Linked DNA regions of Oryzias latipes. The protein of the gene in region 1 interacts with the protein of each later gene in a pairwise test. Links are inferred from orthologs where the notes say so. Each region holds a gene or a part of one and is shown in the gene's direction. Other genes may lie near its edges.

Region 1 (3,512 bases):
CAGTCGGTCATTACTGACACACAGGAACGCACAACAATCAGACAGCAAGACTTAAATATTTATGTTTCAATCCATGAATGCCAATGTTCAAATGTTTATTTTGCTGTTATTTCGCCAGATTCTTCTTGATTAGAATTTTCAGAAAGAGTTGGATGATTCCAAGTTCTATTATATGTAATGTAATAAGTACAGAACAGTAAATACTGATAACGATATATGAAAAAAAGGGGTTATCTAAATTCTTCTCAGATTGATGAGCTGAAGAGCTGCATTGAGGAGCGTGAAGAGGAGCTGTCACGACTGAGAACAGCAACAGTGAGTCCTTCAAGGCCTTCATTGTATCACTAGTTCAGGGTTTGTCTGTGTCCTCAGCAAAGCTGTCACTCCAACTAATCCAAAAGTACTGGTGTGGATAACAGACGGCTGAGGAATTTACACGAGGTGGCTATTCTTGATTTACCTCCAATTGATGCTCTGGAGCTGAGTCGTATGTTTCTTGTCAGGGCGCCACAGACTCAGAGAAGCGAGTGCTGTGTCTGTCAGCAGAGAACGAGAGCTTGAAGCAGAGCCTGAGCGTGACACAGGGCCTCCTGCAGCAGCTCTCCACCATCCCTTCCCAGTCCAGCAACATGCTCATCAAGGTAAGCGGCATCGAACACGTGTTGATGAACACAGATTTACTCATACCAGCGGCTAACTTTGTGTGGCAGGAAAATGAGAATCTCCGCAGCAGAGTGCAGCAGCTAGAGAGCTCCCTGCAGCAACGTGCCGAGCAAGTTTCACAACTGGAGAGAAGGAGTGAGCAGAGTGAGTGGAGAAGAGCGGAGGAGCTGAGGAAACGAGAGGACAGAATGAGGGAGCTGCAGCTGGAGCTGGACAGAGAGAAGGGAAAGGAGCCTGTTGTAAAGGTAAACCATGCTACAGGATATTTGAAGGTGGTTTGAAAAGAGGCATTTGAGAAACATCAGTCAGCAGCAGTGAAGTTTGCCATCCCTTGCTGTATTTGCAGTGGAATAACAACCTCCGTTTTTATCCTTGGGAGATAAAGCCTCTGTATTTGGATTTCTATCCCCTTCTGCCAGTATGTGACTCAGACTGTGGAGGTGGAATCAGCAGCAACAGTGAAGCAGCTGAATAAAGCCAGACAGAGGAACGAGGTATTGGCTGAAAGGCTGTCCAATCAGAACGAGCACTGCAGGCAGCTGGAAGAGCAAATCCGAAAGTCTGATGAGTACAGCTGCAATCTGCAGCACAAGGTAGAACAAAACGAAAAGAACTTCTCTGCATCTAGAAACACCTTTTTTATTAACTTGCGTGTTCGATTTCTTGTGTTTTAGTTCAAATTGTGCAGAAAAAAAGCTTATTAACTCATGTACATTTTACTGCTGACCACTCAGACTTTAGAAATCTGGATTTTAGCACTGAGTATAGCTTCATTTCTTCTTAAGAGAAAAAATCACAAAAGAAAAGGAGACCAAATGTTTTGCGAGCAACCAATGTGCAACCTTGATCAATTTTATTGAAAGAAGTGATTGCTGAACTGAAGCTGCACACTGAGACAGTGGGAGTGATAAGCTGCTGTGCTTAAACCTTCACAGATCGCAGCATATGAGAGAGAAATCACCAAACTGAGGGAGGAACTGTTGAAAGAAATTGGACATTTGGAGGAGAGGAAGGAGGAAGCAGTGAGAGCTGCTGCCAGCTGCTCAGCAGACCACTTTCAGAACCTGCAGGATCAATTCTTCAGTGAGTACGCTAAATCACCGCCTGACGTTTTCAGATGAATTTCAGAAAGCAAAATGCTCTTGTTTTTGGATGAGATTGTCATCTGGTGCTTCACAAAAACATCTCATGTTTTGAAGGACAACAGCTAAATTTCCAACAAAGACATTCGGAAAGGAGAATTAGGGTTAAGGTGTCAGTTCCTTTTTTTCCAGCTTTACAGAAGCGTCTCACAGCACTCCCTCCAACTTTACGCTCCATGAAGACGGATTACGCCAGTCTGAGGAGCCAAGTTCGAAACTTCTCAGAGTTTTATGGAAGCGCCATCAATGAAGCGAAAAAGCAGGTGTGTAACTTCACGCAAACCTTGAAGGTTGAGCTTATTAAACGAACATGATGAGCAAAGTTCTAAGACGTCTTTTTCCATTTTCAGATTGCAGCTGCCATTAACCAAATGTCTGAAGCCAACAAAGATCTTCTGGAGAAGTACAGAAAAGAGGTTGCACTGCGCAGGAAGTACCACGAGCAGCTGGTGGAGCTCAAAGGTGCACACACAGAATGATGGAGATGGCTTCAGTGAGGATGCTCTGTCACTGACTAAGACATGTTGCTGTTTCAGGCAACATTCGCGTTTTGTGTCGCGTGAAGCCTGTGCTGAAGGAGGATCAGCATGAGGAGGGCCAGTCTGTGGTCGTTGCCATAGACCCCAACAATGAATCCTCTCTGACTGTGTTAACAAAAGGAAAGGGTCGTGTCTTTGAGCTAGACAAGGTCTTCCAACCACAGGCCACTCAGGAAGAGGTAAGAGAAGAGGAGGATACTTTTTCCAGACTGCTATTTTTATAATTTTTTTTTTTTTTAAATTAGATCTTTCAGGAGATTGAGCCTCTTGTGACGTCAAGCATTGATGGATACCATGTCTGCATATTTGCATATGGACAAACTGGTTCTGGAAAAACCCACACTATGGAGGTACGCTGGCTCACAAAGTGATTAAAAAATCCCATGAAGTATTAAGAACAGGACTATTTATTTGTCTCTAGATTAATTTAAAAATATGTATTCAATAATCTTTTAGCATTTTAAAATTTGGAGTTTCAATATCATGGACAAATGAATATTACGGAGAAAAGAACTTCCAATGAAAAGGTTATTGTATTTTTTTTAGGTTTGAGTGAGGCAAGCATAATCATTTAATCCCATTTTATCACAATAAAATCTAAATAGATTCCATTTTGCACATAGAATTTTTCTTTTTTGTTGTTGTTGTAAAAATGAATATTACCTTTTGGAGTTGCCATGCTTAACAGTGCATTTTATTTAGTGGTTGGTTTGTTGGATTATTTCAAGTAATAATAACCAAGTAATAAAAGAACCAAAAACATTGATGTATCCAACCTTGTTAAAATATGACATAATTAATTGATTGGGAAATAAAGATATTTAATAAAGCTGAGACTGTCTTCTTGACATAACTACTCCTAATCATAAATAGACATATTTGCACTTCTAAACACAGTACACAGACATGAAACACTAAATGCATTTAATGTAATGATTGACAAATGGAGTTGTTATGATTTTTTTTATCTGTATTTGAAATGTTCGTGTATACATCTTTTTTACGTATTGAAGCACTGCATTTCAGGGCACCGTGGAAAACCCTGGAATTAACCAGCGAGCTCTGAAACATCTCTTTCATGAGATCGAGGAGAGGAAGGACATGTGGTCTTACAATGTCTCCGTCAGCTCTGTGGAGATCTACAACGAGGTGTTGAGGTACTTTAGCT
Region 2 (3,771 bases), on another chromosome or scaffold:
TGGCTAAGCTACTGATTTCCCGTTTAAACATTAGGCTGCTTTTATACATTAATGTATACAATTTATAGAAAATTGTCTAAAGACTAATCTACATCATAATCACTGACCCAAACACATTTCCCAACTTTACTTTTAGTTCATTCAGAAAACCATCATCTAAGGAAATGGGTCACAATCACAGCTTACTGTGTGAACTCCCAGGGTTCTACTAATGTCTCTTGGTTTTACTCACGTCTCATCCCTAATTTGCTTAAAGGAAAAGATCAGTGCTTAGTTGGTCATGCCTTTCACTGTGGTCACATTTTAGCTAAATCATGTTGAAGAAACAAGATCCAAAAAATGATCCAAAAAACTACAAGATCATATAGATAAAGTATTTTTTTTTTTTACACAATATTTTTTTGGTCCCACTAAACTTCTGGGTCCTTATCCATGTACTTTAATTGGGCTGGTATAAAATATTTTATCTCTATTTATCAAACAATATCTTAATCAGCCCTATCCTGAAAAAAACAAACAGATTTTATGACTTACACCTGAAGTTGAAAATAAGCAAATAAAGTTAAAATCATAAACAAAATGTTACCAACAGTAACAGATTTCTCTTTTGTTCAGATGCTTTAGGTACCTGTGAATATATAAAATTGTTAAACAATCATTAATAACACTCACACTTTCATATTAATAAATATTTATTAGTTATTTTAGTGAAAATGTATATAAAACCGAATTTTTTGCAGGGGAGGGGGGAGTTCTCCTCAAAATATTTTGAATACTGTGTGTATATTAACAGCTAAATATTACTGGTTGTAATGTTGAGAGTTTTGGTCTATTTTGGAGATTTGGAGATGAACATTTAGGATGCTTTGGAAATGTGTTTTTAAATTTAAACCTTATCTGAAGAAAGTATGTGTGTTTTATAGCAAACCTCTGCAGATCCTCTCCAATGGAAGGAGCCTGACATCCTTCAAGTGCTTCAGCTGTGGAGAGAGAAAGTGTTCAAGTTGTGCGTCCAGCTTCGCTCTAAAGACATTGAGACGAGAAGAGAAAAAGACAAAGTTCTTTTTGATGTATGAAAAAAGTCATTTGTTCTTCAAACTCTGTACATTTCATCAGTGTTATTTTTAACCAAAAAACACTTGTTCTGTCTCAGGTGAGATCCACGGAGCAGCAGCTCCAGCAGGAGCAGCACCAGAACCGTCTGCTCCAACACAGTCTGCAAGACAGGATGGCAGAGCTGGACCTGGAGAAGGTAGAAAAGGAGGTTAGCATCAGAACGTCTGAGCTCATAAAGACACTATAAAGATGTGTCTGCATGTCGCTTTTCTAAAAATATGTTGTTATCAAACTAGACACTGAGGGAAGATTTAACAAAAGTTGAGAGAGAAAATGCTGAGCTGAAGTCACAGAACCAGAGAGCAGAGGCTGAAATCAAGATCCTGATAGAAGCTGTGCAGAGGTAACTTTTATTTGATACAAATTGATTTTCATTTCTGTATTTCCTCAATGGTATTTATTGCAGTTTTTTCTCAACAGGTTCCAGAAGGAATTTGACCGCAAGACCGCAGAAGTAGACTCTGCTAAAACAAAGCTAAACACTTTTACCCAGAGGCTCTCTTTTGCTTCTAGAAGAGTGGAGACCATCCAGTGTAAGGCTTCTGGGGTTAGCTTGTTGACAGAAATTCTTCCTCATAGACGTGCATACAACATTTCAGTGAATACTGTTTTGGTTCTGCAGGTTTGGTCATGAGGCGAGCGGCTCTGCAGAAAATTGAGCAGGCGTGTCAACCACCAAAGCAAGAAAAGAACAGGTATAGGTTCACAATCAGATGATTGTCGTGCACAAACAGACCTGATTGGATAATTAAAAATGGTTCACATGAGTTTTTCCCATCAGATCTTATTTAACTAAATAAACCCAGTTCAAATAAATATTTGTTGAACTGGGACACTTGTAGTTTTGGGCACAATGACATCAAGCACTTTTATTTTTTTGTTTATTTTTTTATGTTTCATTTAAAGTGTAAAGAGTATATGCAATCATATTTTCTATTTGTCTAGATTTTCTACTCAAAATTAGGTTCACGAGTATTTTTGTTTTGTTCTATGGAAACAGTGATCCGAGATTTTGAACAAAATAGATCTTCTAAATATCACTGCATAATTTAAGACGTGACATCATTTTGCATCAAAAGCAACATTTCCCTTCAACCCTGTCAAAGATTTGAATTATTTGAATTATGAAAATTTAAGAATTCTTTGAGAAGGGTAAAAACTGTATTAATAACAAGTTTATATGGACTTGATTGTCTGTTTTATTGATATTTTTAACTTTGCATTTTCTTACAGTTCGTCTTCTTATAGTATTTTTTGTCTTGCAGCTTGACAAACTTGCAGACGGAATACGGTCTGATTTGCGAGGAGCGAGACAGGCTGAGTCTAGAGCTCAAAAGAACCCCAGAGCTCATTGAGAAAGCTCTCGCTGATCTGAAGGAACAATGTGAGATCATGTTTTGATTTATGACTTTTCTGGAATCCATGATTGGGATTAGACTTCTTCTGTCTGCAGATGGGAGTAAAGTCAGGCAGCTGGAGCAGGAGCTGGAGCTGAGCTGCATGGAGGTGAAACAGGCTCTAGCCGGTAAAGAGAAGGCGGAACAGAGGCTGCAGCAGATCCAGGCACAGCTGGATGAGACCAGCATCAGCTTGGAGACACTTCCCTGTGAGCTGCTCCACCAGCAAGAGCGAAACCAGCAGGGTGAGGCAGCGACTTGACTTTGAACGGAACTGGCCTTTTCTGGAAAGGTTCTTGTTTTGATGCTTCAGCAGCCTTACGGGGACCCGGACACTATGTCTCCAGCTGATCAAGTGGAGTCAACCATGTCAAACTGAAACTTTTGTTAAAAACTGATCAGCTTTGAGAAAAAAAGATATAAAGAACATTGTTCACATTCTTATTGTTCATGTCCTCCTGACTACCAGAAATGTAAAGTTGTCCATTATAGAGGGTATTTTAAACCCCAATATTTCCCAACCTCTCTACTACTAAATTTACTCATCTGGTATCTAAGAGGACATTTAAGGCTTTTCAATGTTACTAAGTGGAAAAGGATGGGGCTTATTTTTTTTCTCTGGTAGTTGGAAGAATAACACTTTTTTAAATATCTGGAAATCAGAACAAAATTTTGTGTAAAATGTTTAGGATATGTCTTCATATAATGTTTTTATTTTGCTTTTTAATTAATAATTTATCCAATTTTTTATTATTTTGTGTCAAACCTTGTAAAAACGTAACACTACTGGATTCCTTAGCTTCAGTTCTTTTTGATTTCCATATTAAGTGATGATGCAGGCATCACATTTACCGTTTACCATAAGTGTTTACTTTCCTTTAGAGGAATTTTTATTTATTTTTATTATTATTATTATTATTTTTTTTTTTTTACAAAAAATAGTACCTAAAAAGGAAAAAAAGTGAAGAAAAATACCACAAAACCATCCAACTGTGGAGACTAAAACCCAGATATAGAGGGAAGGAAAGCTGAAGTGCTGATTCTCTGAATCATTTAGGATTGTGTTGGTTGAAGGCAGAGGGCTGAAGAGGATGTCTGACTGGCAGGTCGGCATGCAGGCATCCACATTAGTTGGAGCAACAAACAATTGATGAGTGGATTATGATTTTGGCATGACACACTGCTGAGTTGATGAGATGAATGATTGCAGGCAGGTGTACAGCCTGAGAACCTGCCAGGCAGCAAAGGAGAGAGGAAG
Region 3 (4,798 bases), on another chromosome or scaffold:
CCTAGAAAAAGACACAGGTTTTTGGGGGATTCTGGCTAAAAACGGCATAATCATAAATGAAAAACCACTGGGTACGCTTTGATAAATAAATCAAACAGTGATTAGAGCGGGACTTTAAATTTAAATGTAATTGTAATTAATTAATTTAAATTAGCTGCAGTAGAGAAAATTAGTGCAAAGGTGTCCATTTTCATGTGAGTTTTAATCACTTCTGCGTTCATGAAGAAATCAGCTTTAATTTCTACAAATCCAATGTGCGTTACAAGATCATCTCCACATTGAATCAGGTTTGGAACTCACACACACATGACGGAAAAAAGAAATATTCAACACTGACATTCCTACACAGCAGAAATGTGGCTCTCTAAGGGAGGGGTCTGCCAGTCTGCAGATAAGTTTAAACTGCAGACAGCATCTCGTCTTACTAACAGTTTCACTGCAGCTGCTGTGGACACCGATAGTTGAGTTACACAGATGACCTGCCTGCTTTCAAAACACCCTTAAAGCTTTAGCTCCATACAGCGTACCCAGGGACTTTCTCCCTTGTGTTGTGCCTACAAAAGCATGAGGTGCGCATGCCAAGAAAATACAGGGAGGTTACAAAGGAGGTGGGAACATTTTTTTAAAGTATAACTTGACAAAGATTTCATTCAGAAAATCGTGCCAAACTCAGCTAAGACGTCACCACTGCTGTAACTTAAGCAGCGCTTAATTTTGAAAAGACAAGAACAGCAGCAAGACATTAAACACCAAACCTCAGCATTATGGCAGGAGTTTGAAGAGCAAAAGTCACGTCTAAGTTACATATAAAGCTCAGTAATTGTTTGCTTCTGATAAAAAAAGTTACAGGTTATAATCAGTTAGACTAGGCACAAGCCTGGAGGAAGTTAAAACCCGTTCTAAGGGAACCTTTGCACAATTTATTCAGTACTGTGAGGCTTCTGCTATTTCCTTTTGTTTATGTGTTGAAAGTAAACACTAACAATGGAAGCTGAAATGTACCGAAGCTTCTTAAAAGAGGAAACTCAATGTTATGTAAGCGGAGCATATTTTCACGGGGTAGGGCCAGCAGTGCCTGCTTCTTCATGTCACTCAGGACTTCCACACACATCCATGCCGGAGCTGCTGCTCCTTTGGGACAAACTCAATACAGCTGCAGTCTCGTTAAAAAAAATAAAACTTCAAGAATGATGCATAAAAACCACGTGGTAAGCCTGAGTTTAAAGCAACCGTGAAGTTTCAGCCTATTGCACGCGTGCGTAAATCTGAACTTTACGCAAACAGCCGCATTTCTGATGCACAACAGCACCGTCAGTTTTCTGCTTTACTCACCGATCGCCTTCAGTCCAACAGAACTTTGCCGTCTCCCGCAGTGAATTCGGCGTGAAAACCCGCCGAGTTATCCCGCAGCTCCAACTTTCAAATCCCAACTCGCTGAGGAGGAGGAGAGACGTGTGCGCGCATCCCCACACACACACGGCTGCGCATAAACACACACAGGTCTAGAATTTCCGCTTCAATCTTACAGCTTCATGTTTTTCTTTTCATCTAAACATAAGAACGTCAACTGATTTTTCAAATGTGTTATTATTTTATAAATATACATACAACCTAATGTTTGTCGTCAATCCACAGCATTATTTGTATCGAAGGGTTCTGCAAATTCACCGATCTCAGCCCATGAGCAAATCTCGCGAGACTTGCCGTGTTGTGGCACAGCTGACTCTCCCGTGGGTGGTACAGGCGAGCAGAACCTTGAGGCTAAATAATCGAATATAAAGCGCCTTAAATTTAACCGCCGTGAAGGTCCGGACATACAGTTTTATTCACACCATGGCTGAAACAGATCCCAAATCAGTGCAGGACCTTACTAACGTGGTGAGTTTGGACCGTCAAGCTAGCTAGGACTAGCTATATGGATGTAGCTAGCAATGCTAACTATACTGCTAACAAATCAAATGCAGGTTGCATCTAAAGGAGTATTAAGTTTGATTCCTTTTTGCCTTTTCCCCCTTTGTTTTACCACTTGACACCTAAATTCTGATCGATCTCACTAAATATTTATTAGTTTATCACCATATAAAAGACATTGTTAGCTGATTAGCACTTCATCCTGACTAATTTAATTTACATAAATCTTCTTTAATCAGCATTTTCAATAACAAGTATATGAATTTACATTTTTATTGTAATAATAATAATCAGCAGTTCTCGCAACACCCAGGTTACTTCTGTTGGTGTGGATACCAATAGTGTTGCCATGGAAATGAACCAAAACTAAAGGTCTAAGTTGCACCTCTACCTACTAAATCACAGACTGTATTCGATTCTTCTGAAACATTAGGTGTTGATTAGTGTGTTGACTGGAAGATGAAGGTCTTAGCTCCTTTTTAGTGGTTTTTCTCTCACATGCAGCTATGTCCAGAGTGGGGTATGTGAGGAGGGGACTGAGAGGGCGGGAAGCGCTTTTGGGCCGCTCACAGCTTGATCTTGTACTGTTTCTTGTTGGGTTTGACAGATTAAAGTTTGTGGCCTTCTTTTGTTTTTCTAAAGGTCCAGACGCTCCTGCAGCAAATGCAAGACAAGTTCCAGACAATGTCAGACCAGATCATCGGGAGGAATATCCTTTTTTGAAAGCCAGAGCTCTGATGGTCGTCTTTACATTTCTCATACTCTACATCAAATGTCCCGGTGTCTTTTTCTACAGGACTCCAGTTTGCTTAGAAAAAAAAAAGATTTGCCTTAACAGTGTCCACTTGATGAGATGAGCACACGAATCGATGACCTGGAGAAAAACATTGCTGACCTGATGACCCAGGCTGGTGTGGAGGAGGCCGAGGCGACACCAGAGAAGCCGAAGGAGAGCCAAGGATCATCATGAAGGTGAAGAAAAACGGTCTACCCCTGTAGAATTTCTTTGTTCTGGTAGATTTCCTAATCAGCTTTATTTTCTGTCTGTCCCACAGGGTCAGAAATGATGTGAAGTCAAAGTTCTTTACCGATGACTTCTGATTTGGTGTGAAATGCTTTTTTTAAATATATATATATATAAAATGGTTTAACGGTTTACAGTTATGTCATGATGTGAGAAGTGGAGTAGTAGTAATCTGAATTAGTGTGACCTGCCCTTCAGAATTGTGTATTTGGTGCCCTGACCTGGACGTTCGAGCCGCCAGCGTCGGTTCTTCTCTCCGGTCCGTGCTTGGTAACGGGCCAGCAGAACCTCATCCCAACACGATGAACCGCGAACACCCGGAGCTCGCAGCGCAGCACTGTTGGCAACGAGATGCAGAATGCATTCCATTTCTGATTTTCTATTAAAGCGATGTACGGAGCAGTTTCTCCTTTTTGACCAGGTGCTGATAAATAGACCACGGTGCTAAGAGTTTCTACATTTTCTCTTATGAGGCAGAGTCGTCTGATGCCACAGACCTTTCATAACTACTGAATTCATCCGATCTGCAGGTTCAATGCTCTTTGTTGTTCATGAATTTGTTGGATTCTGACGTGAAATGAGCAGAATTGGAAATGTGCCACTTAACGAGTGTATAACTAAGATTTTGCCAAATTGAATGATTAAAACATCCCTTATTTTACCGCATGGTAGGAACCTTTATTCAAGTGTATGCAAACAAAATGTAACAGACCGTCTTCAAACCAAAAGTAGCAGTAAACATCCATTAAAGTGCAGCTTGATTATTGAACTGCAGTAGTAGAACCTCAGCACTTCATAAACATCCCCTCAATACAATATTCATTTACTCTACATGGGATAAAGCAAAAGGTCCCTGAGCTGCCACTTGGTGTGAGTTTATACGTCTGTGGAAGTTCAGTTTCAGAACTCGAAGTCGTCCTCCGTCATGTCGATGGCCCAGGCGAACTTTTCCCGTTGGGTTTTGTTGTAGATTTTTTCTATAGGCACCTCCATGTTCTTACACCTGATTAAAAACAAGAACAGAAAAGCGTTCAACCACAAACAACTGAGTATTACAACTGCAGAAGAAAAGTCTTAAACATACAATGGGGTGAAGAGAAACCTTGAGTTTATCGTCCTGAACGTTTTTCAAGCCAAACTTCACCAAATCGTTGCAGAAGAAGCATTTCTCATCTCTGGTTTAGCACCAAACCCCACTTTCCTTTGGTACAAGCAGCATTTCTATGAATTCTGAAGTCTTGGAACAATTGGCTGATCTCTATAGAAATCAGGTCGGTCACATGGTGAAACGTCAGATCAGTAAACTGGAGGATCTGTTGTCTGAATGAGATCAAGTGACCACAGATCCTAAGAGCCCAGAATCAAAGTTAACGGATGGAATCTGGACATTTCAACACTGCAGCCTAAACCAGAAACTTAACAAAATGTGTTCTTTACAATAAAAATCTATTAAAACATTTCTGTTTTTGGGTGTGTGTACGAGCTGGATTCGCAGTAAAATAAGGGTTTGAGTGACGGGGCTGTTCTGCCCACTCAGACGTTTCTGAGGATCGCTGACGACCATCAGACCGAGCTGGAGGTCTCAAGAGAAGAACCGCAGCAGCGGTGGAACTCTGCCGTCGGGGTGAAGATGGCGTTTACCAAGCCACAGATATCCGAGGGTCCAGATAGTTGAGCTTTGAGGTTCCCAGAGCAATCTGCTTGTTCTCCTCTCGGTCAGTCGCCTGGACCTCCATCTTCAGCAGATGCTCCTCACAGCGCTTCACCGCCGCCTTCTTTCGCTCCACTAAACTAACGAGACGCAAACAAACGGGGGTTCAGTCCAACAGCCAAGGCTGTGATCCAATCGTGTAGTTTCAGACT
Region 4 (4,829 bases), on another chromosome or scaffold:
AAAACTTCCAACCTAACTAAACTGATCCTTTTCTTTTTTGTTGATCCGCAGGTCCGTGCTGGTTCCCGGGCTCTTTACAGACCCATGTCTGCCTCTGTGCTCTCCAGGCCTGATGGCAAAACAGAGGTAAGGATAAACAAAGTTTATAAACACTTTTGTATTATTGACTACTTGTGGTGTTTTTTTAACAGTAACTGTATTTCCCATGCCTGTCTGTGGTGTTTCTTTGAAGTGAATGTTTTCATTTTTTGTCTTTCGCTGCAGAGCTCTGTTGCTGTGATGCCACAAAGCCCCCTCACACAGGTCACACTGAGAGGCTTCCAGACCAGTGCCATCAGCAGGGACATTGACACCGCCGCCAAGTTCATTGGTGCTGGAGCCGCTACAGTCGGAGTCGCTGGATCTGGTGCTGGAATTGGAACAGTGTTCGGTAGTCTCATTATTGGCTATGCCAGGTTTGTTGCCATTTGGTCACTGTGTACATGTTTTTTTGGGGTACAATTCAAATGTTTTCTTTACATTTATTGACTTCTTTTTGTTTGCAGGAACCCATCTTTGAAGCAGCAGCTGTTCTCATATGCCATCCTGGGTTTCGCCCTGTCTGAAGCTATGGGACTATTCTGTTTGATGGTTGCTTTTCTGATCCTGTTTGCAATGTAAAGCACTGCCCTCCCAACACTTTCATTACAGATGTGACTACATATTTTATTGTGGCTTCTAAAATTGTTCAGTGTTGGTGTCATGGAAATGTAAATTTTTCAAGTCTTTCCGACACAGTCAAAATTAAACAAAACATGTACAAACATAACAATGTGCGTGAATTTAATACATGCATTTGAGTATTTATCAGTGGCAGCAACGTCTATGTCTGGAATATCATGGTAACTGAAAGCAGTTTGCTCTCACAAATGTCAGAACATCTTCTCCCCTTGTGAATCAACTTGCTTTCTGAGAGTTATATGGGGTCCACCGTCATAAGCACTTAACTCAGTTGCAGTTAAGTAGAACTGTAAGAGGCAACAAGTGATTACTTGCTTTTGTAAATCACGTTGAATAAATCTAGATTGAATTATAATTTGGGTTTTTGAATTTATTTCCCGACCCCAACAGGGTTTCGAGGTTTGTCAAATGAATGAGTTGCCACTAAAACGGTCCATCAGAACAAAATTCTCAGTTAAAAAGTAATTGTCATTTGGAAGTCAGTAAATTAGTAATATTTGGCAACAAAGTTGACCAAATGTTTTTTTTTTTTTGTAATATAAATTACCCATGTGGTTTGTTTACTGCTTCAATCAAAAATAGTTCCTTGTGATTTAATTTAATATAGAGTACACGATAATGTTTCTCTAAATTGAATTGTTTTAAAGAAATTTGGCCTTTGAGTAAAAAAGGAATGTTAACTTGAGGTGGTTCCGTAGACTGTAAATAAAGTTGTAATGCAGTAGAAATGATGGCAATTATTTATAAAATATTGAATTTATGGGTAAATGGGTAAATTTATGGGTAAATGGGTTTATTAGTGTCCATTAGTATGTTTACGGCGTTTGGGTTAGTGTGACGTTTACGGAAGAAGAAATTGTTTTCTCGCGATACTTTGGGGTTTGGGAAAACAACGTTTGTGGCTAAAGGGGTAAGTAACAACTCAAATTGAAAGCGAGTTTTATTACAAATGCAAAAAAGGGCACCCTTTATCTGAAATCGGTGTTATTTTCTTCCAAGTGAAATTAATCCCCCTCAAATTAAATACCAAAAGGTTATCTGTTTAGTGATTTGTTGGTTCTAACATGGCGACGGCTGTGCGTTATCTCAGCTCAGGCTGGAGCGGAGGATCGGATCATAATGTAGCTTTTGTTGTGTGATGACTTTAGTCGGAATTAAACGTGAAACTTTTTTTTCCAACAAAAAACATGCATAATTTCTTTGTTCGTGTTGAAAAATACACAATCCGAACGACCACACACCGAACGACCCTGCACTGCATCACCGAGCTAATAAATAAGCACAGACAGAGCAACCCCACCTCCTCACTGGCTTTGTCCAAAATCTTATTTGTCCTTTCACTAGATTTGCCCTTAACAGTCCCACTCGAGTCTCGAGTCATTTCTACTATTATCTAAAAATTAACCCTCTAACCCTCCTTTTGATCAGCCACGATTACGTGGTTGTCTTTTCTGTGGCTGTTGAATTTATTTCTGTTTTAAATGGAAATTAAGTTAATTGAGATGAAATATGTTGTTTTTATTCATTTATTGTAGGACAAAAATATAGCAAGAATTTCTTAATATGAGTGATGACAAACCCTTCCAGTGTACTGCTCCAGGATGTGGACAGGTAAGCTGACATAGTTCTTCATAGTTTTTATTTCTTTTTAGTTAGTGATTCAGTTATTTTTATTTTTTGAAAAATAGAAGGAAAAAAACCAATTCCAATGTGTTGTAAATTTATATGGTGGAGTTGTTGAGCTTACATCTTTACATTCTAGATTATTTAAAAACGTTGAAGGTATTATAATATTACATGTTTTGAGATACGGTAGTTGTATTTCTCCAGAGACTAACTTTAATATATATATATATATATATATATATATATATATATATGCATCAAATATGGTAACCAAATATTTGGGTACTCAATGTGTACATTTTACATACATTTGCTATCTTTGCTGATAATATCGAATAATTCAACTAAAAAACGTAGTTTGTGCATTCTTATCAGACATTTTAAAAGCTGAAGTTACTGTTTGAAGGATTTGTGATTATTTGTGGTACAGATAAATCCACTTAAAAACAGAATCACTGGAGTTAATAAAAGCCTGAGTCTGCATCCAATTTGAGGATTCACAAAAGGGTCAAATAATAAAAAGCATCTCTTTTTTGAAGTCACATCAACTGTTTAATTTCTAGTGCCAAAGTAAAGTTGGCTAAAGGGTAAAAATATGTAATTATTGTGGTAAATGTACGCGCACAGTCACAATAAACATAAAAACACACATTAAGCCTATGTTTATGTTTATTTAGGGTTTGATTTCTTTGGATTTTAGCAATGCACCGTTTACTTTTTGAAATTGTTAGTATTTTAACATATTTAACATTGTGAGTCATTGTTGTCTCTCAAAGGATATGCAGAATAAAGTTGTTTTTTTATTCATTTATTTCCTTTTTACCTTGCTCAGAGATTTACAAATGAAGACCACTTGGCTGTCCACAGACACAAACACGAGATGACACTAAAGTTTGGCCCAGCGAGGACCGACAATATCATAATTGCTGGTGAGTCCTTCTTAAGTTTTATGTCTATAGATGTTTGTGTGTTTTTGCCTCCTTAAGTGTGATTTTTTTCTTCTTTTATCTTTTCTTTTCTCTATTACAGATCAAACGCCGACACCCACTCGCTTTTTGAAAAACTGCGAGGAAGTCGGGCTTTTCAACGAACTTGCCAGTCCTTTTGACCATGACTTCAAAAAAGCAGCTGAAGATGACTTGAAGAAGGTTGAGTTTGTTCTGTAACTTCTGTCAAATCTTCTCTTAGGATGATCTCTGAAGTCCAGAGTTTATATCTGCTTTTTTTCTTTTTCTTTTAACCTTCCCAAAGCTACCTCTGGATTTGTCACCTCTTGCTACACCAGTCATACGCAACAAAACTGAGGAACCCGCAGCTGTAGATGCACATCGGAACAGCCCCCTTCCTCATCCTGAGTCCACCACAAACGATGACAAGGTAGATTTTTTTCTGTTTAGTTAGCTCTCTAATGGGTTTTAGGAGTGCTATTAAACATGAATAATTAAGAATCCTCCTGTTTCTGTAATCATTCATTTACTATAGAAATTGTACTTCTTCTTTCACCTGCTTGAATTCTTCGATTTATTTGTTTTTTATTTTCAAACCCCACTCTCTTTTTTTTTTTTATTCAAACACTGCTCTTAATTTTGATTTGGAAATCCTAAAACCAACCAAAAAAATATTTGCAAAAAGTTCTTGTAACTAACTAAGCTGGTGTTCACTAAACATTTCTGCAGCTAAGGTCTTGTATGATGTTTTCAGGACTTAACTTTGCAGCCTGCCTCACTGCCAACATCCACTATAGTCCATCCTGCATCCCTCCAAGTTCCCAATGTACTTCTAGCAACCACGGACGCTAATGTTGTAATACAGCCAGCTCTCCCATCGCCAACATCTAGCTCTGTTATTACCCAGGTTCCATCCACTAATAGACCCATAGTGTAAGTAACGGAATGCGTCCATTTTTAAAACAAATCTTAGTTTTTAGTTTTTTTTAATCATTTTTGTGTAGTTTTGTGCATTTTGTGAGGCATGTGCTTGTATTTTATGTTTATTTTTTTAATCAATCTGCACTCTGGTGTAAGTCTTTCATTTTGTTGTAAACGCCAAATCAACTGTGAATTCTTCCAATTTTAGCGACATCTTTAAAAAGCTACTCACATTATGTACTGTTCAAAAATATAGATTTATTTTTAGGCTACTATTTTACTTCTAACACACCAGCATAAGTCAACATTTGGAATCCTGTAGCGTAGATTTACTTTCTTGTAGGTCTGCACAATAAGTCGCAAATTTATCGTTATCGCATTGTCAAGCTGTGATATATGCATATCGCAAAAGTCGGTGAAAATGGCAATAAATGTTAACCCTAAATGTGTTAAAACAATCTCATGGCAGCTTAGAGTATTTAACATTGAAATGTTTCCCTTTATGCATTTGACCAAACGGATGGAACTCTTCTATGTGAGATGCTCGCCCTCTGATGTAGATGAGGCTCATTTGGAGTTTAATTTAAGTTATATTCACTCTTATTTAAATTAAAC
Region 5 (4,534 bases), on another chromosome or scaffold:
CGGAGCTCCAGAGATTGAGCTGGCCGTGCGTCTGACAGAGTACTCGCGCACTCTGGCTGGGATGGAGGCGTACTGCGTGCGCGCGTATGGTGATGCTCTGGAGGTCATACCCTCCACACTGGCGGAGAACGCGGGCCTGAACCCCATCTCCACGGTGACGGAACTCCGCAACAAACACGCACAGGGAGACAAGATGGCCGGCATCAACGTCCGCAAGGTCGGCGTGCTTTCCTTTTGCTCCGTCTGTGCGCGGTTGACAGCTTGACAGATTTATTTATTTTTTGGACAGGGGGGGATTTCAAACATCTTGGAGGAGCTGGTGGTGCAGCCCGTGCTGGTTTCCATCAGCGCGTTGACTCTGGCCACAGAAACGGTCCGTAGCATCCTCAAGATCGATGACGTGGTAAGACTCAGAACTGGATTCCCTTTTTCATTTTACAGAAGTATGATTGGAAATTAATTTTTGTGTTCTGGTTCCAGGTGAACACTCGATAGGTCTGTCCGGTTTCTGAAGCCCGTTTGTTCTGCGAGGGATCAGAGCATCACGTCGACAGCAGTCTGCTCCGATTTCTGCTGTAGTTATTGCATTGCCTAATTTAATAAAAGGCTGTGGGGTTTTTTTTGTTGACACTGCTGCCTCTTTTTGTCTTTCTTTCTTTGTCTTTGTCTTTATGTTGCACTAAAGTGTAGTACACAGATTTAGAAACATGTTCTGGTCTTCATTTTTTTTAAATTGTATGTCTTGAAAACCGCTAATTTGAAAAAAGTATGTGAAATATTAACGCAGAGTTAACACGTATTTACCAAATAATTTCTGCAGCATGAAAAGATGCATAAAATCTGGTTTCTAGTACTTATCAGACTAATGGTAACATTATAAAACATGACCTAAATGTAAAATGTTGATTTGCTGTTATAAAATAAGGTTTTCTCTTGATTAAAGAGTAATGACAGATCTTTATTTGTCATTGTCACGCATACAATAGAATTTAAAGTGATTCCTGGTCAGTCTAACACTCATACCTTAAAAAAAATTAGACTCCAGGCGCCGGTGCCTCTGACCTCATGCTCATCCAAGACGTGGACGGTGCTGCTTTTCTATAGAATTGGTTAAAAATGTAAAATCTTTAGATAGAATTTTTGTGTGTCTTCAAAAATTGGGTGATGATCATGGCCTGGTTCAAAAAAAAAGTCCTGCTTCTATGCAAAATAAATTCAATGCATAAGTAATTTTATTATTTGAATTAAGATACTTTTTTTTATTTAAGTAGCCGTTTTCATTCAATTAATCAAATAAGAAAAAAATATATACATTTTAATGGTCAGAACCTGTGTTTACTCGATTCATTTTAAGCGTTCAGTTTAAAAATGTACACGTTTCCAACGCTTTTATTTTGTATCAGAGCTTTGTTCTTTGCTTCCGTTTTACGTCACTTCCTTCCTAACGATGCTTCTCCGTTGCTAAGAAGCCAGCCAACCTGACAACGACTGTTCCCTCCGGGGAACGAACTAAGTAACAGAACCTCATCAAGGCGCTTTTTTAAAAAAAAAAAACTGTTTCAACAAAAAGATGGCGAATCCTCACCGGACGAACGTTTTATTAACTTCCTGTCTGAAGGCGCCGGTGGACCCGCACACCAAGGCGCCGCTTGCGTCATACGAGCGCGGGGCAGTCCTAACGCACGCGACTGCAGGCCAGCTGGACAACCGGGACTATGAGAAAGAGGTAAACACATGTTTAAAAATATTTCACAATAAAAGTCACACTTTCAAAATAATAATCTTTCTAAAAATAGTTAAGACAACTCTGTATTTATTGAGATATATAGAAACTTTGTATACACTTTAGATTGGAGGTTGTTATACTATATTTTATTTATTTATTTATTTATTACAATGTGAAGGTGGGTGAAGCTGTTGTTTTCCTGTAGTCTGAGTGCAGCTCCCTCTGACCTGAGACAGGTTATGTCCAGTTAACAGGATGTTGACAGTTTCAGGTCAGCCAGGTGGAAGGGATTTGATCTGTCATTTGTTGTCCCGTCTATTTTTGGATTTCTGTCTTCACTAGATTACCAGAAGTCTTGTTGGGTCGGTAATCTCTTTTATATCCTTTTAACAGCAATGACCTTCTGTGGAAAAAACACCTCGTAGCAAGTTGGTCTAATTTTCAGAAACGCTTCTGACAAACATCCTTTTTAATGGAGGCCGGACACTTTAGGAGGAGTAGATGTCAGCGGAGCTCCTTCATGCTGAGCTCACCTTTGTGTTCCAACCATATGGCTCTGATCATTGTGACTGCAGGATAATGAGCTTAGTCCTGAAGACCTTACTGCCCCTCAACAGGGCAGCAGTGTTCTTTAGGGCATAGAAGTGAAAACAAACTTTTAATAAATTCATGTAGGAAGCCTTCAAATACCTGTTAATTAACATGATGATCCTTGAGTGACCTTTGGGCATTTCAGCTGGAGTTTTGGGACTCGGGCTCGGATTTCTGTGATGAGGACTGTCTGGGGATGGGAGGAGCTCACGTGGGGGGCAGCTTCAGGGCAGCCGTCGACCGCCTGGACCTGAGTGAAATCTTCTTCTCCAATGAGGAATACTACAGCAAGCTGGAGGAGCTGAAGAGGGCCCACGAACGCACCATGGCAGAGCTGGAAAGCATGTACCAGCAGAAGCTGCAGCTCAGGTCCGGTGAAGCTTTTGATATGAAGGCCCTGGATATCGGTCACAGGTCAGTTGGGCCGGATTAAAGGAATTTCTTTGACAGTTTAACACTAATTTTGCAAACCGAGACTATTGTTGTTGTTTTTTTATTTTATATATTAACCATATTTTCACTGAGATTAAGGGACTTTGATTATGAGATATTCATTCCTGCAGAAATAAAATAAAATAATTAGCTCAGCTGCCTACAATTGAACATGTTTTAGGGTTGCTTTTAAGAATAAAAAACAAATTACCTGGAAAGCTTAAAGATTTCCTCTTTAAATTTTTTATTGTTCGCATGTCCATTTCTTTTTTAGATTATACTGTCATGCATGGAAGAAAGCTTCGGCCTATCTTATGCATGTTTTGCAGGATTCAACCATTGACTGTAAATGAGAACTGAACTGAGTGACCCCTCCCTCCTGGCGTCCCAAACAGGCCAAAATCGCATAGACTTCTATAGAGAAATAAACAGAAGTTCTTCAGTCATTCTATTTTTCAGAATAACTATTCTTGCTCTGAAACCTTTTTTTTTAAAGACCCACTTCTATGAAAACTGTGATTTTCATAGAAAATCACAGTTTTGTGGTGTTTTTAACATGTTCTTATGGCATTTTTCTGAAGATGGAGGACAACTTTGAAGAGAATTAAGGTTATAATTGCATTTCTGAGTATTTCTTTATTCAAATTGCTGTGAATCAGGAGCAGATGAGACAAAAAACAGTTTGAAAAAGAGGATATTTGTGATGTAGAAAATACGCTGGGTGGGCCAAAAGCTCCCTGCTCCATTCTGAGCTGGAATCTGGATCTAGACTGTACGGTTGAAGAGCTTCACCATCATCCACAGTAATGTTAGGTTGGGGGTGTAAGGGCCTGAAAGGTAGCGAGAGAGAGTGTAAACAGAGAACTCTCTGCTGTGGGTGACAGACGTCATCTTTAGCTTAACCCCTAACCCAAAACTCAGAGGTGAATTTCTAATGAACTCCTGCCACTCTGCAGAAACTTTTAGCCAAAAAAAAATTATTTTGGCTAAAAACAGCATAATCATAATTGAAAGACCACTGGGAATGCTCTAAAAATCAAAAGATTATCATAATTCTCAATAATCTTAGTTCTTTCATGATATTTTTTCTGTTGTAAAGGTTATTCAAGCTATAAGCTGACCCATCAGATGCCTCAATAAAATTCAGCGGCCAAAGTTTTGTAAACTTGATTGACAGGTGGTAGAAATGTGGACTTCCAACAGTACCGATTGGTGAGAGTTGTCGCCATAGAAATGCAGGGGTCCAATTTGGACATATCACTGCTGACTCCAACACGGTGGTGTCTGTATCGCAAAAAACAGACGACTGAATTGATTACATTTTGTTGGAGCCATAAGTAAACCATTTTCCATGGGTGACGTCACATTCACTCAGTCCAGTTCTCATATACAGTCAATGGTTTTAAGTAATTGGCTTTGGGCGGGGTTTAGTCTGTGCTCGAGGTGGGTCCAAGTCTTACTTGAGCGGGATTCAAACGGTAGTTATTTGGAGAGTCGTCTAAGAGTTCATAATTCTTTTGAGGCAGAAAAAAACCATATTGTCTTCTGTGGAAAAGGAACTCGATTATAAGAAATACCTAACTTTTAGGGTCTTCTAAATCTTTCTACACGTATTTAACGGCGCTTTTACTTCCTTGCCATATTGACCCAACTCCACTTGAATTTTTTCTTTTTTTTTAAACTAGAAGGAGCTGCATCTCCAGAAGAAAATGCAGGATTGAATGCTAAATTGCTGGAAAAAAAAGAAACTTAAAGGCTAATATTAACACAAAAGAAATGATCAAA
Region 6 (4,163 bases), on another chromosome or scaffold:
ATAAGTTCTTTAAAAATCAGACAATGTGATTTTCCGGATTTCTTTTTTCTCATTTTGTCTCTCATAGTTGAGGTTTACCTATGATGAAAATTACTCTCTCATCTATTTACGTGGGAGACCTTTCACAATTGGGGGCTGACTGAATACTTTTTTGGTCCACTGTTGATCTGGCGAAAGTCTTGAACAGGATAAGATGCAAAGAGGACACAGATTCATTACATCCTGAGCAGCTGATTTCTTTTAAAGGTCTTTGCAAAAGTGGCTTTGAAAAGTTGGAAAGAGTTCCTGCGATGTTTGTATTTAGTCACTTACAGGCCAGATTCATAGTTTGATTTAAAAATGCTTGGATTATTACTACAGAAGGCTTGGAAGTCCCTAATAAAATGCTCCTCTATGTTGTGACCTTCAGATGACATCCTGGAAGCAGTGGGCTTTAAATCGGGGTCGTCCACTCCTCAGAGGTCCGGCTCCACTGCAGGTCTCCACAGACCCAGGCTGAGCATTGACTTTGCAAGCCCAGCCAACGATGTGCCTCAGCTTAGCTCCTCCCTCCCGGGATCGCTGTCCGGCATTTCCCCCCTCCTCTCCCCGCGGCAGGGATCGCACACCATGGACTTCTTTGAAATGTGTGCCAGTCTGATCACCACGCTTGCGCGCTGAGGTGTGTTGACCTTTGCTGTCAGCAGAATGTTGGGTTGAAAGTATCTGCCGATCTGGGAGGTGGAGAACTAAATGTAGTGTTTGTATAGCGTGCAGAAAGGAAAGAGGGAGACAAACGGTCATTTTTTTGTGTCAATACTATTGTTCGGTCTGAGAAAACAGAGCCTGAGATCCCACTCTGCTCATGATGTCACTGAAGCAGAGAAGCGTGAAGGAACAGGTCAGTGTCGTGTCAAAAACAACATCTGATGGTAAAACCTGCAGCGGTGTCCACGGCAACACCACTCCATCGGGGGTTTTACTAAAGAAGCTTTGGTTATGTTTCTTATTAGAAAGCTTTAAAAGTGTTGACACACAAGCATCATTTATTCATCACGCAAATAATGCAATTATTTAGGTATCAAATGGTTATTTATTTTTGAAAAAAATTACAAAGTTTGTCCTTTAAACATTTCATTAAACCAAAGGTCAATCTGATTTAAAGGTAGAATGTAGATAAAAACAACAAAACAAGGTGCATTATCGCCGTGACTGCGTTAGCTGGAGCAGCAGAGCTTGTCGACGTTTTTTCCTTTCGTTTGTTCAGGAGCTGCAGTGAGTCCCTGGTGTCGGGACACAGGCGTGATTGTTCACACAACAGCAGCAGTTACTAACTAACACGCAGCACGTCATCTGTTTGTAAGTGCTGCTCGATTAGCACAGTAAAGCCTTTAGCCACCGCTCCTACGGGGGGATGTGGGCTCTCTGCAGGTGGAAAATGGGTAAATCTGTACAGGGCACGGAGGAAATATCAAGGTCATACCCCGCCCAGTGACCCCGAAGAGCAAAAATGTTCAAGCACATTTATTCTACGAGCATTCTGCAAGGAAACCATTATACGAAACGTAAGGGTAAGGTGAAGGGGAGGTAGGTGAGACGCAGGCGTGTCTCACAGATTTTTTACCCCAGGACAAAGTGACATTACTTCTACATCTAAGCGTATCACACCTCAACAAACAGTAGAGTGTAGCGTAAGGTCATCGTACAACAGCATCACCCGCATGTCATGAGTACGTGGAACTTACATCATCACTACGACTACTGTTCAATAGACTTATCACACCCGTGGCAATGGTACGTTCCATTTTCATGACATCCCTGAAGGTGGCGTCGCGAGCCTGAAGGGAACTGCAAGACACACCTGCGCTCCCCTTAAGATGCAGCCCCTCCTCTCTACGACCCTCCATGGGCCCGGACAGCCCAAAAACCCGCAGCACCTGTAGCCTTTAGATTATGAAAAATAGTTCAGAAACACACTGAACCCTATTGTCTCCCTTATCCAGTGTGTAGATAGTGGACACAGAAGGACAACGGTTGGGTGAAATGGTGTGTATGTCCTGCAGGAGGAGATAAGCCACAACCCCCTTTTTCCAGCTGCCTGAGAAAGTGCAACTCATTGATTTGTGCAGGTGGAAATGTGTGACCTGATTGTGTGTGCGTGTGTTTCCTGGATTTCTTCACTGATGTTTGGTGAGCTGAAGTTGAAGTGTAGACGCGTGGAGCTTAAAGAGAGGCTGCAGGGGTCGGCCATGAAGCAGAGCGGGGTCAGAGGACTGCTCCGCCTCCGCTCGGGCTGCACTTCGAAACCTGTCTCCAGGTCAGATTGGCTCTTCACTGCATCACACTCCATCTGTTGTCTGTGTTCACGCTGATGTCCCGTTTCCGCTCAAACGCTCATCTCAGAGGCAGAGGATGTGCTGCAGTGCCTGTTAGTTTAGGTTGTGTGGCTGACTGAAGGGCTTTGTTGTGATCATTTATACAAATGACAGTGTCACTTTAGTTTTGCAAAATGTTTCTTCTAATCTCAGACTTAGTGTGTAGCGGCTCAGAGCCTCTCTGTTTGAGTCAGTCCGGCCTCAAAGGTCGCGCTGCTGATTCCGGCTGCAGCATCTCAACATTCTCTTTGGGTTATTCTGGCAAATGAAAGTGGAGCCCTGAGCAAGTGAGAGGCAATAAGTCCTGGGGCCTGCTTTTGATGGGGTGAACATGCAGGGTTTGTTGCAGCACTGCTGTCCTGTTCTCTGCTGCTGAACACAAGTGGAGCGAGGGCTTTTTCACAGCCGGTCAGGCCTCCGCTGAAGCTGCGACCTTCCTGGGTTTCCGTCTCTGACTCTGCTGCCTTTCTGCTCATGCACACATGCAACGTCCGTGCACACCTGCCTGTGTGTGCACGGAGCAGCCATCCCTCTGCCAACATGGAAGCACGCCTGCTTCATGATTACTGTCAGACACAGCAGCTACGCAGCCACAAGCGGCACGCTGGTTCTGGAAGCTGGTCTGGAGCAGAACCACATCCGACACCAAAGTGAGTGGGGAACTGAATAGCCGTGACCTTTAACCCCTCCCTGTCTGCCCCCTGTACACGGCGGCTCCTGGGGGACGTGCACAGACGTGAACTCTGGATTGGTTTTGCCGTGCGCTGCATGATCCTGCTGTTATGATTTGCACTTTAATGAGTATTTATTGACAATAAAGACAAAGATACAAAAACAACACTTTTGCTTCTCAGGCTTTTGTCAACACAAACGCACACTGGTGAAGGCGAACACACCCCAGATGCCCTCACCAGGCTATGATGGAGAAACCTGGCAAAGCAAAGGAATCCGGGACAGAAAAAGGATTCCTAAAAGGGTGGTCCTGGTATGAAGACATCCAGATGTGCAAAATAACAGTCTGTGTAGCTTATTTCCATGCAGTTACAAATAATGACATGAACCTGACGCATTAAAAGGAGTGTGTACTTAAATAGCATAACGCTGAATGTTTCACGGAGGACGAAGAAAGGAAGAAGAGAATGAACGCGCAGAAATAAAGCTGACTGTGATCAGGCTTGACAAGATACTCTGTCCGTTTTCAGGCAGGAGCTCAAGGACGGGTCTTCAGGATTCTAACCCTTGACAGTGGGACAGTGTTTGGAACAGAAGTTTAGTCTTTTTATTGTTGAGCAGATCCTGTAAAGTTCTGCTTCTCCGGTTTACATGGTTGTATAAAGACGAGCCTGAATGTTCACCCGCTCGTTGGACGTGATGGTGTTTTGAAATTCCTCTGATCCAAAGTTCAAAGTCAGAGGGTCATTTTCACATGTGCAGAGAGATTTCCAGCATCCTTAGTCCACACGGACGACGGGCTGCAGCAAACAAGTGAGTCCAGGTGCCTCCCACTTTCAGGGACGGTTTTCAGGGAGGTCGGCGAAAACTTCGGGAGGAGGTAAAATGATGGCAGTGGCATCGAACTCCTGGGCTGCACCGTGCTCAGGCCTGGAAACGATCAACGACAGCATGAAAATGACTCACATTCTCCTCCGATACCAGCGTGGTGATGCAGCGATGACACAGTTCATCAAACCCACAGCTCATTATGGAAAAAAATGACTCATTGTCCTACGAGAAACATGAGCCAGCCTAACTTCCTGTTGGGTCAGTGTTGGTATTTTACTCCGTCTAACTTTTTCACAAGCGCACAGA
Region 7 (4,107 bases), on another chromosome or scaffold:
ATAATTTGCCCGCAACATATGAGGTCATGTGGTTTTGATGGGGTCTTTTTTATGTTCCGATCTGATAGTTTTCTTGATTGGAGTGTTCTAAAATAGCGCGTTTCAATGCTACAACCCGATCAGCGGCGTTTTTCCGCTGAAGGAAGCCTATGAGGATTTAGTGTGATGAAATCTTGTTTATACTTCAGACGACATAACCCCCGCGTCTGTTTGTGCCTTTTATGTGTTCGGATGCTCCAGTAAATAGCAGGAAGACATTTTGATGATTGCGTTCTGGCTGGCTAACGTTGGATGTGGAGGTTTTTGTCGCATCTCGCCTCCGGTTTACAGAAAGAAAGAAAAAACCGAGCAGCCATGGCTCGTGTGGTCCCGCCTGTGCAGTCGTCGATTCTATGATTCGCTCCTGTTGCGTGAATTCGTTTTGTGTTGCGAGCGGAATGGGTGGTTTTAGGCAGATGGATTGCATTGCATAATCTGCTTCGGAAATACCAACATGGCGTAGTGCGCGCTGACTAGAAACTGCGGTGAAAAACGGAGCTCACATTCATCCGATCCTGCAGAAGATGCGCGGAGGCGCATCTCTTATCTGTTTGAAGGGAGGCTTTTTCAAAGTTTCTCACAGGCTTTCATTCTAGTCAAACGCATGTTAATCACCAAAACTACGTAAATGCAGTCTGTTTTCCTTTGAAAATCATTTTTGAGTTTTTTTATTTTTATTTGACAGTATTTCATGTTTAAGCCGCTCTGTAAATGATACTGGAAACCTGTTAAAATGACATCATGTGCTGTGCTGCATACTGACTTGACAAAGCACATGTAGGGCAGTAGGGTTTGGACTGTTTGCATTGGCTTCTGTTGTTCTCATCAGATATGTGCTGCCAATCCCTTTTTCCCTTAGATGCTTTCTCTTTTAGGAGGGGCTCTGTCAAAAAAATGAAAATAAATGCTTGTTTTTTTTTCTTTAAATAGTTGTTTGGGTGTAATGGGAATTATTTATTCACCTGAAATTCAGCTCGCTTTGTGCTGTTATTCAAACTATCTGAAGCATTCTCTTCCACAAGGTCAGAGCAGATCATTTCCATGGCTTTGTTGGAAAGTTGACTTCTTCACTCAGACATTTGGGAAAAATAATGTAGTAAACAAAAGACATATTTTTTCATCTTGAGTTGTTTAAATGTATTTTTGTCAGCCAGAATGCAGAAAACATTGCAGTGACTTTCATTTACATTCAAAATTTCAATTGCATTTTCTCCCAAAACTTTTGTGATCATGAATCGACTGCAGTTTAAATTGTGTATCATGACATTGAATATTGACATTTCTTCTACTCGTATCAGTTGTAGTGATTTTCCACTAAGTCTTAGTGTGTCACAGAACCTGTTATGCCACTTTTATGGTCTTATGTTGTATATGATCACTCTTTATTTGTATTGTTTTGTGACAAAATGTATTTGTAAAAAATGTATTGTAAAGCATATTTGATTATTTTGATTTAGCTTTTAAAAAATGTTTTTGTTCTAATTTGTTAAAATAGTCAGCACATTTCAATAAAGTATTTTCCACACTGTAAGGCGAACTTAAAGGCCTTCGTTTAAAAAAAACAACAATGTACTTTACAATCTGAAGCGCTTTACATATAGATACATTCTGGTTGTGTTATTGTGAATACGCTAACATGGCTATTGTGTAGCTTTGCCTTACTATTTTTTTTTAATCATGTTTCAGTTAAAAAGGTTGGGATTTAGTGTAGTCACAGTAACATTTGTTTTAGCTTTATTAGTCTTTTTTATGTTGCAAACAAGGTTGAGAGTTACAGGTATCATGAATATGCTAACGCTTCTACCATGGCTAACATTTAGCATGCTATAAACAAGTGCTACAGTTACTGTGAATGCAAGTCTGACTTACTGAACTTAAAGGCCTGTTCACACCGGGACGAATTTCGCCGGCGATTTTCGCCGACGTTTAACGCCTCGTGACTAAACAAAGGGCCCCAATGAGAGTGTGCACACCGACGCGAAAAAACGCCAGGCGTTAAAGCGTCAAAAAAAAAAACGCCTCGGGTTCGTTTTTTTTTTTCGTCGCGTCGAAATCTACTCGACCAATGAGAACGGCGCTTTTGCTCATGTGTCTGGAGCTTCTGAAATTACAGTAAAACACAACTTGGGGGCGCTCAAACACAAAACTGCCTTGCTGAGCACACATACCAGCGAAGAAGATAGACGCCAAGTAGCGTCTACACAGCCGCGAAGCAATAATGACGGACATTCTAAAACATCCCCGAACCAAGTACCAGTTGGAGCTACTGGTGCTTGAAATATTCATGTTTTCTTTGTTTGATTCTGACAAGCGTGTAAATACTTGCTCTCTTCTTCTGAGTGAAAAGCGACTTTAAGAAGCGTAAAGTTGCGCAGCGCCACCTTGTGTACAGGAGTATTTCTGTTTTACATTAAGCGCCATCTAATGTCAGGGAATGAAATTGCATGTTCACTCCACTCATCGTCAGCGAAAATCGCCTGGGTGTGAACACAAAAAACGTGGCGAAAAACGCTGGCGAATAACGCCTGGCGAATATTCGTCCCGGTGTGTACGGGTCTTAACTCTGACTCTTTAGTCTCACTTAATGGCCTTATAGTTTAGTGTGGTTGACAGTTTTGGTATCTTTTATTTACCTTTGGCACATAAATATCAGTATTTTTACTCTAATTGTATTATAATGGGTAAGAACTTGGAATTTTATGTTACTACAGAAATATTTCAACTTTTTTGATTGACTCTTTTTTTCTGTCACTCTGTTTTCCTCCACGTCTTTTCCCAGGCTGTCCTCAGGTGGGGCAGTAAGCGGGTGGAGTGGAGCAGGCCGCGGTGCCCGTCCCTCTGCACTGCATGGCTGCGATGGCGCCCGCTCTCACCGACGCCCCAGCTGAAGCTCACCACATCCGCTTCAAACTGGCTGCCCCATCCTCAAGCCTCTCGCGAGCCAGTGGAGAGAACAACAGTAACGCCAGCAACATCCTCATCCACAGCAGCGGCCCCGCTAAGTGCAAGGTCACTTCTGAAGAGTGCCCCCTCGACTTTTGTGGTGGTGATCAGGAACAGCAGCAGCAGCCTCAAGCAGACTCTGTGTCTCAGGCCTCTGCCCTGGGAAAACTCCAGCCACTGGTGGCTTCCTATTTATGCTCTGATGTGCCACCCGTCTCTGCAACTAAGGAGTCAATCAAGCTGCAAGGAGTCATTCTTAAACAGTCCGTGTTGAAAAACCACAGAATACTGCCCACCTCCCTGCTCAACGGTGGGGGAGACTTCATCTTGAGGAAGAGGCAGGCAATCGAGCTCTCTGGTGGACAGTTAAAAAGCCTCATGAGTGGCAGCACCAACGGAAGTGGCCAGCCCATGGCACCTGTCAATGGTCTGGCCAAGAAACTTGCCACTGTGTCAGGCTCTAGCTGTGTGGTTGCAGTGAATGGTGATAAGCCCGCTGCTGCTGCCACGGACTCCCAGTCCCAGAACATGCCGCTGGAGTCGGAAACCATATCAGGGCATACTCCTGTGAAAGGAACCCTCAAACAGAAGCATTCCACAGAGGTTTCTCAAAACACAGATGGAGAAAATTTTGAATCACCAGTGCTTCATTCTGCTGCACTTTCCCCTCTTACCTACGACAACTCAAACTCCTCTGAACAGTTAAATTTGGAGGAATCTGGTTCACATGCACCTTTCAGACAGCTTCAGGGTTCTGACAGAGAGAGACCGGGTAGCAGCCATCAGGGCTTTTCGCCTTGCACCACAGCGCCGCAGCCTCCTCTGCCCGGTGGTTCATGCACAGACGGCCTTGATGCTCAAGTTAAACAACGTACACTTCTCAACAGCAGCCGCCAAGCAGAGATTGAAAACAGGTTACGGCGCCTGCGCAAACGTCTGCAGGTGGTACAGGCTAAGCAGGTGGAGCGGCACATTCAGCAGCAGCTGGGCGGCTTTTTGGACTCGGCCCTCAACAGACTACTGGTTGGTAATCGTAAAACAGAGGCTGTCACTCCTTCAACTTCATGGAGGACCGGGCGGCATTCTTCCTCCAACAGCAGAGATTGCCTCAGTCGCTTTCTGAAA

The links.
Region 2: the proteins of kinesin-like protein KIFC3 (region 1) and coiled-coil alpha-helical rod protein 1 interact in binary tests that used the Homo sapiens proteins (3 or more experiments, as listed by UniProt). The link is inferred for Oryzias latipes from reciprocal best matches to the Homo sapiens genes KIFC3 and CCHCR1.
Region 3: the proteins of kinesin-like protein KIFC3 (region 1) and hsbp1 interact in binary tests that used the Homo sapiens proteins (3 or more experiments, as listed by UniProt). The two-hybrid records come from large-scale screens. The link is inferred for Oryzias latipes from reciprocal best matches to the Homo sapiens genes KIFC3 and HSBP1.
Region 4: the proteins of kinesin-like protein KIFC3 (region 1) and atf2 interact in binary tests that used the Homo sapiens proteins (3 or more experiments, as listed by UniProt). The two-hybrid records come from large-scale screens. The link is inferred for Oryzias latipes from reciprocal best matches to the Homo sapiens genes KIFC3 and ATF2.
Region 5: the proteins of kinesin-like protein KIFC3 (region 1) and fam161a interact in binary tests that used the Homo sapiens proteins (3 or more experiments, as listed by UniProt). The link is inferred for Oryzias latipes from reciprocal best matches to the Homo sapiens genes KIFC3 and FAM161A.
Region 6: the proteins of kinesin-like protein KIFC3 (region 1) and prkaa2 interact in binary tests that used the Homo sapiens proteins (3 or more experiments, as listed by UniProt). The two-hybrid records come from large-scale screens. The link is inferred for Oryzias latipes from reciprocal best matches to the Homo sapiens genes KIFC3 and PRKAA2.
Region 7: the proteins of kinesin-like protein KIFC3 (region 1) and KAT8 regulatory NSL complex subunit 1 interact in binary tests that used the Homo sapiens proteins (3 or more experiments, as listed by UniProt). The two-hybrid records come from large-scale screens. The link is inferred for Oryzias latipes from reciprocal best matches to the Homo sapiens genes KIFC3 and KANSL1.

The regions. Positions count from the first base shown.
Region 1 is NC_019874.2:16,693,298-16,696,809, forward strand, and holds part of kinesin-like protein KIFC3, read left to right. Parts: intron 1-249; coding exon 250-315; intron 316-503; coding exon 504-641; intron 642-710; coding exon 711-908; intron 909-1,082; coding exon 1,083-1,256; intron 1,257-1,598; coding exon 1,599-1,746; intron 1,747-1,937; coding exon 1,938-2,068; intron 2,069-2,155; coding exon 2,156-2,267; intron 2,268-2,341; coding exon 2,342-2,523; intron 2,524-2,589; coding exon 2,590-2,694; intron 2,695-3,370; coding exon 3,371-3,501; intron 3,502-3,512. UniProt on the Homo sapiens protein: Minus-end microtubule-dependent motor protein. Involved in apically targeted transport. Required for zonula adherens maintenance.
Region 2 is NC_019872.2:16,058,538-16,062,308, forward strand, and holds part of coiled-coil alpha-helical rod protein 1, read left to right. Parts: intron 1-923; coding exon 924-1,070; intron 1,071-1,153; coding exon 1,154-1,264; intron 1,265-1,352; coding exon 1,353-1,459; intron 1,460-1,536; coding exon 1,537-1,649; intron 1,650-1,738; coding exon 1,739-1,811; intron 1,812-2,381; coding exon 2,382-2,500; intron 2,501-2,569; coding exon 2,570-2,758; intron 2,759-3,771. UniProt on the Homo sapiens protein: May be a regulator of keratinocyte proliferation or differentiation.
Region 3 is NC_019864.2:28,978,903-28,983,700, reverse strand, and holds hsbp1 (heat shock factor-binding protein 1), read left to right. Parts: upstream 1-1,716; 5' UTR 1,717-1,833; coding exon 1,834-1,878; intron 1,879-2,553; coding exon 2,554-2,620; intron 2,621-2,756; coding exon 2,757-2,881; 3' UTR 2,882-2,883; intron 2,884-2,966; 3' UTR 2,967-3,835; coding exon of another isoform or gene 3,836-3,938; 3' UTR 3,939-4,392; downstream 4,393-4,798. Other genes in the region: DNA topoisomerase I, mitochondrial, read right to left, coding at 3,836-3,938, 4,577-4,726. UniProt on the Homo sapiens protein: Negative regulator of the heat shock response. Negatively affects HSF1 DNA-binding activity. May have a role in the suppression of the activation of the stress response during the aging process.
Region 4 is NC_019879.2:22,381,289-22,386,117, reverse strand, and holds the start of atf2 (cyclic AMP-dependent transcription factor ATF-2), read left to right. Parts: upstream 1-1,554; 5' UTR 1,555-1,630; intron 1,631-2,255; 5' UTR 2,256-2,283; coding exon 2,284-2,331; intron 2,332-3,178; coding exon 3,179-3,275; intron 3,276-3,375; coding exon 3,376-3,494; intron 3,495-3,597; coding exon 3,598-3,723; intron 3,724-4,047; coding exon 4,048-4,226; intron 4,227-4,829. Other genes in the region: atp5mc3 (ATP synthase F(0) complex subunit C3, mitochondrial), read left to right, coding at 52-126, 265-455, 546-660. UniProt on the Homo sapiens protein: Transcriptional activator which regulates the transcription of various genes, including those involved in anti-apoptosis, cell growth, and DNA damage response.
Region 5 is NC_019859.2:4,112,727-4,117,260, forward strand, and holds the start of fam161a (protein FAM161A), read left to right. Parts: upstream 1-1,399; 5' UTR 1,400-1,570; coding exon 1,571-1,726; intron 1,727-2,119; exon of another isoform or gene 2,120-2,462; coding exon 2,463-2,731; intron 2,732-4,534. Other genes in the region: cct4 (T-complex protein 1 subunit delta), read left to right, coding at 1-217, 290-403, 481-495. UniProt on the Homo sapiens protein: Involved in ciliogenesis.
Region 6 is NC_019862.2:3,542,252-3,546,414, forward strand, and holds the end of prkaa2 (5'-AMP-activated protein kinase catalytic subunit alpha-2), read left to right. Parts: intron 1-409; coding exon 410-660; 3' UTR 661-3,192; downstream 3,193-4,163. Other genes in the region: FYN-binding protein 1, read right to left, coding at 3,863-3,956. UniProt on the Homo sapiens protein: Catalytic subunit of AMP-activated protein kinase (AMPK), an energy sensor protein kinase that plays a key role in regulating cellular energy metabolism.
Region 7 is NC_019877.2:19,812,469-19,816,575, reverse strand, and holds part of KAT8 regulatory NSL complex subunit 1, read left to right. Parts: intron 1-2,818; 5' UTR 2,819-2,886; coding exon 2,887-4,107. UniProt on the Homo sapiens protein: Non-catalytic component of the NSL histone acetyltransferase complex, a multiprotein complex that mediates histone H4 acetylation at 'Lys-5'- and 'Lys-8' (H4K5ac and H4K8ac) at transcription start sites and promotes transcription initiation.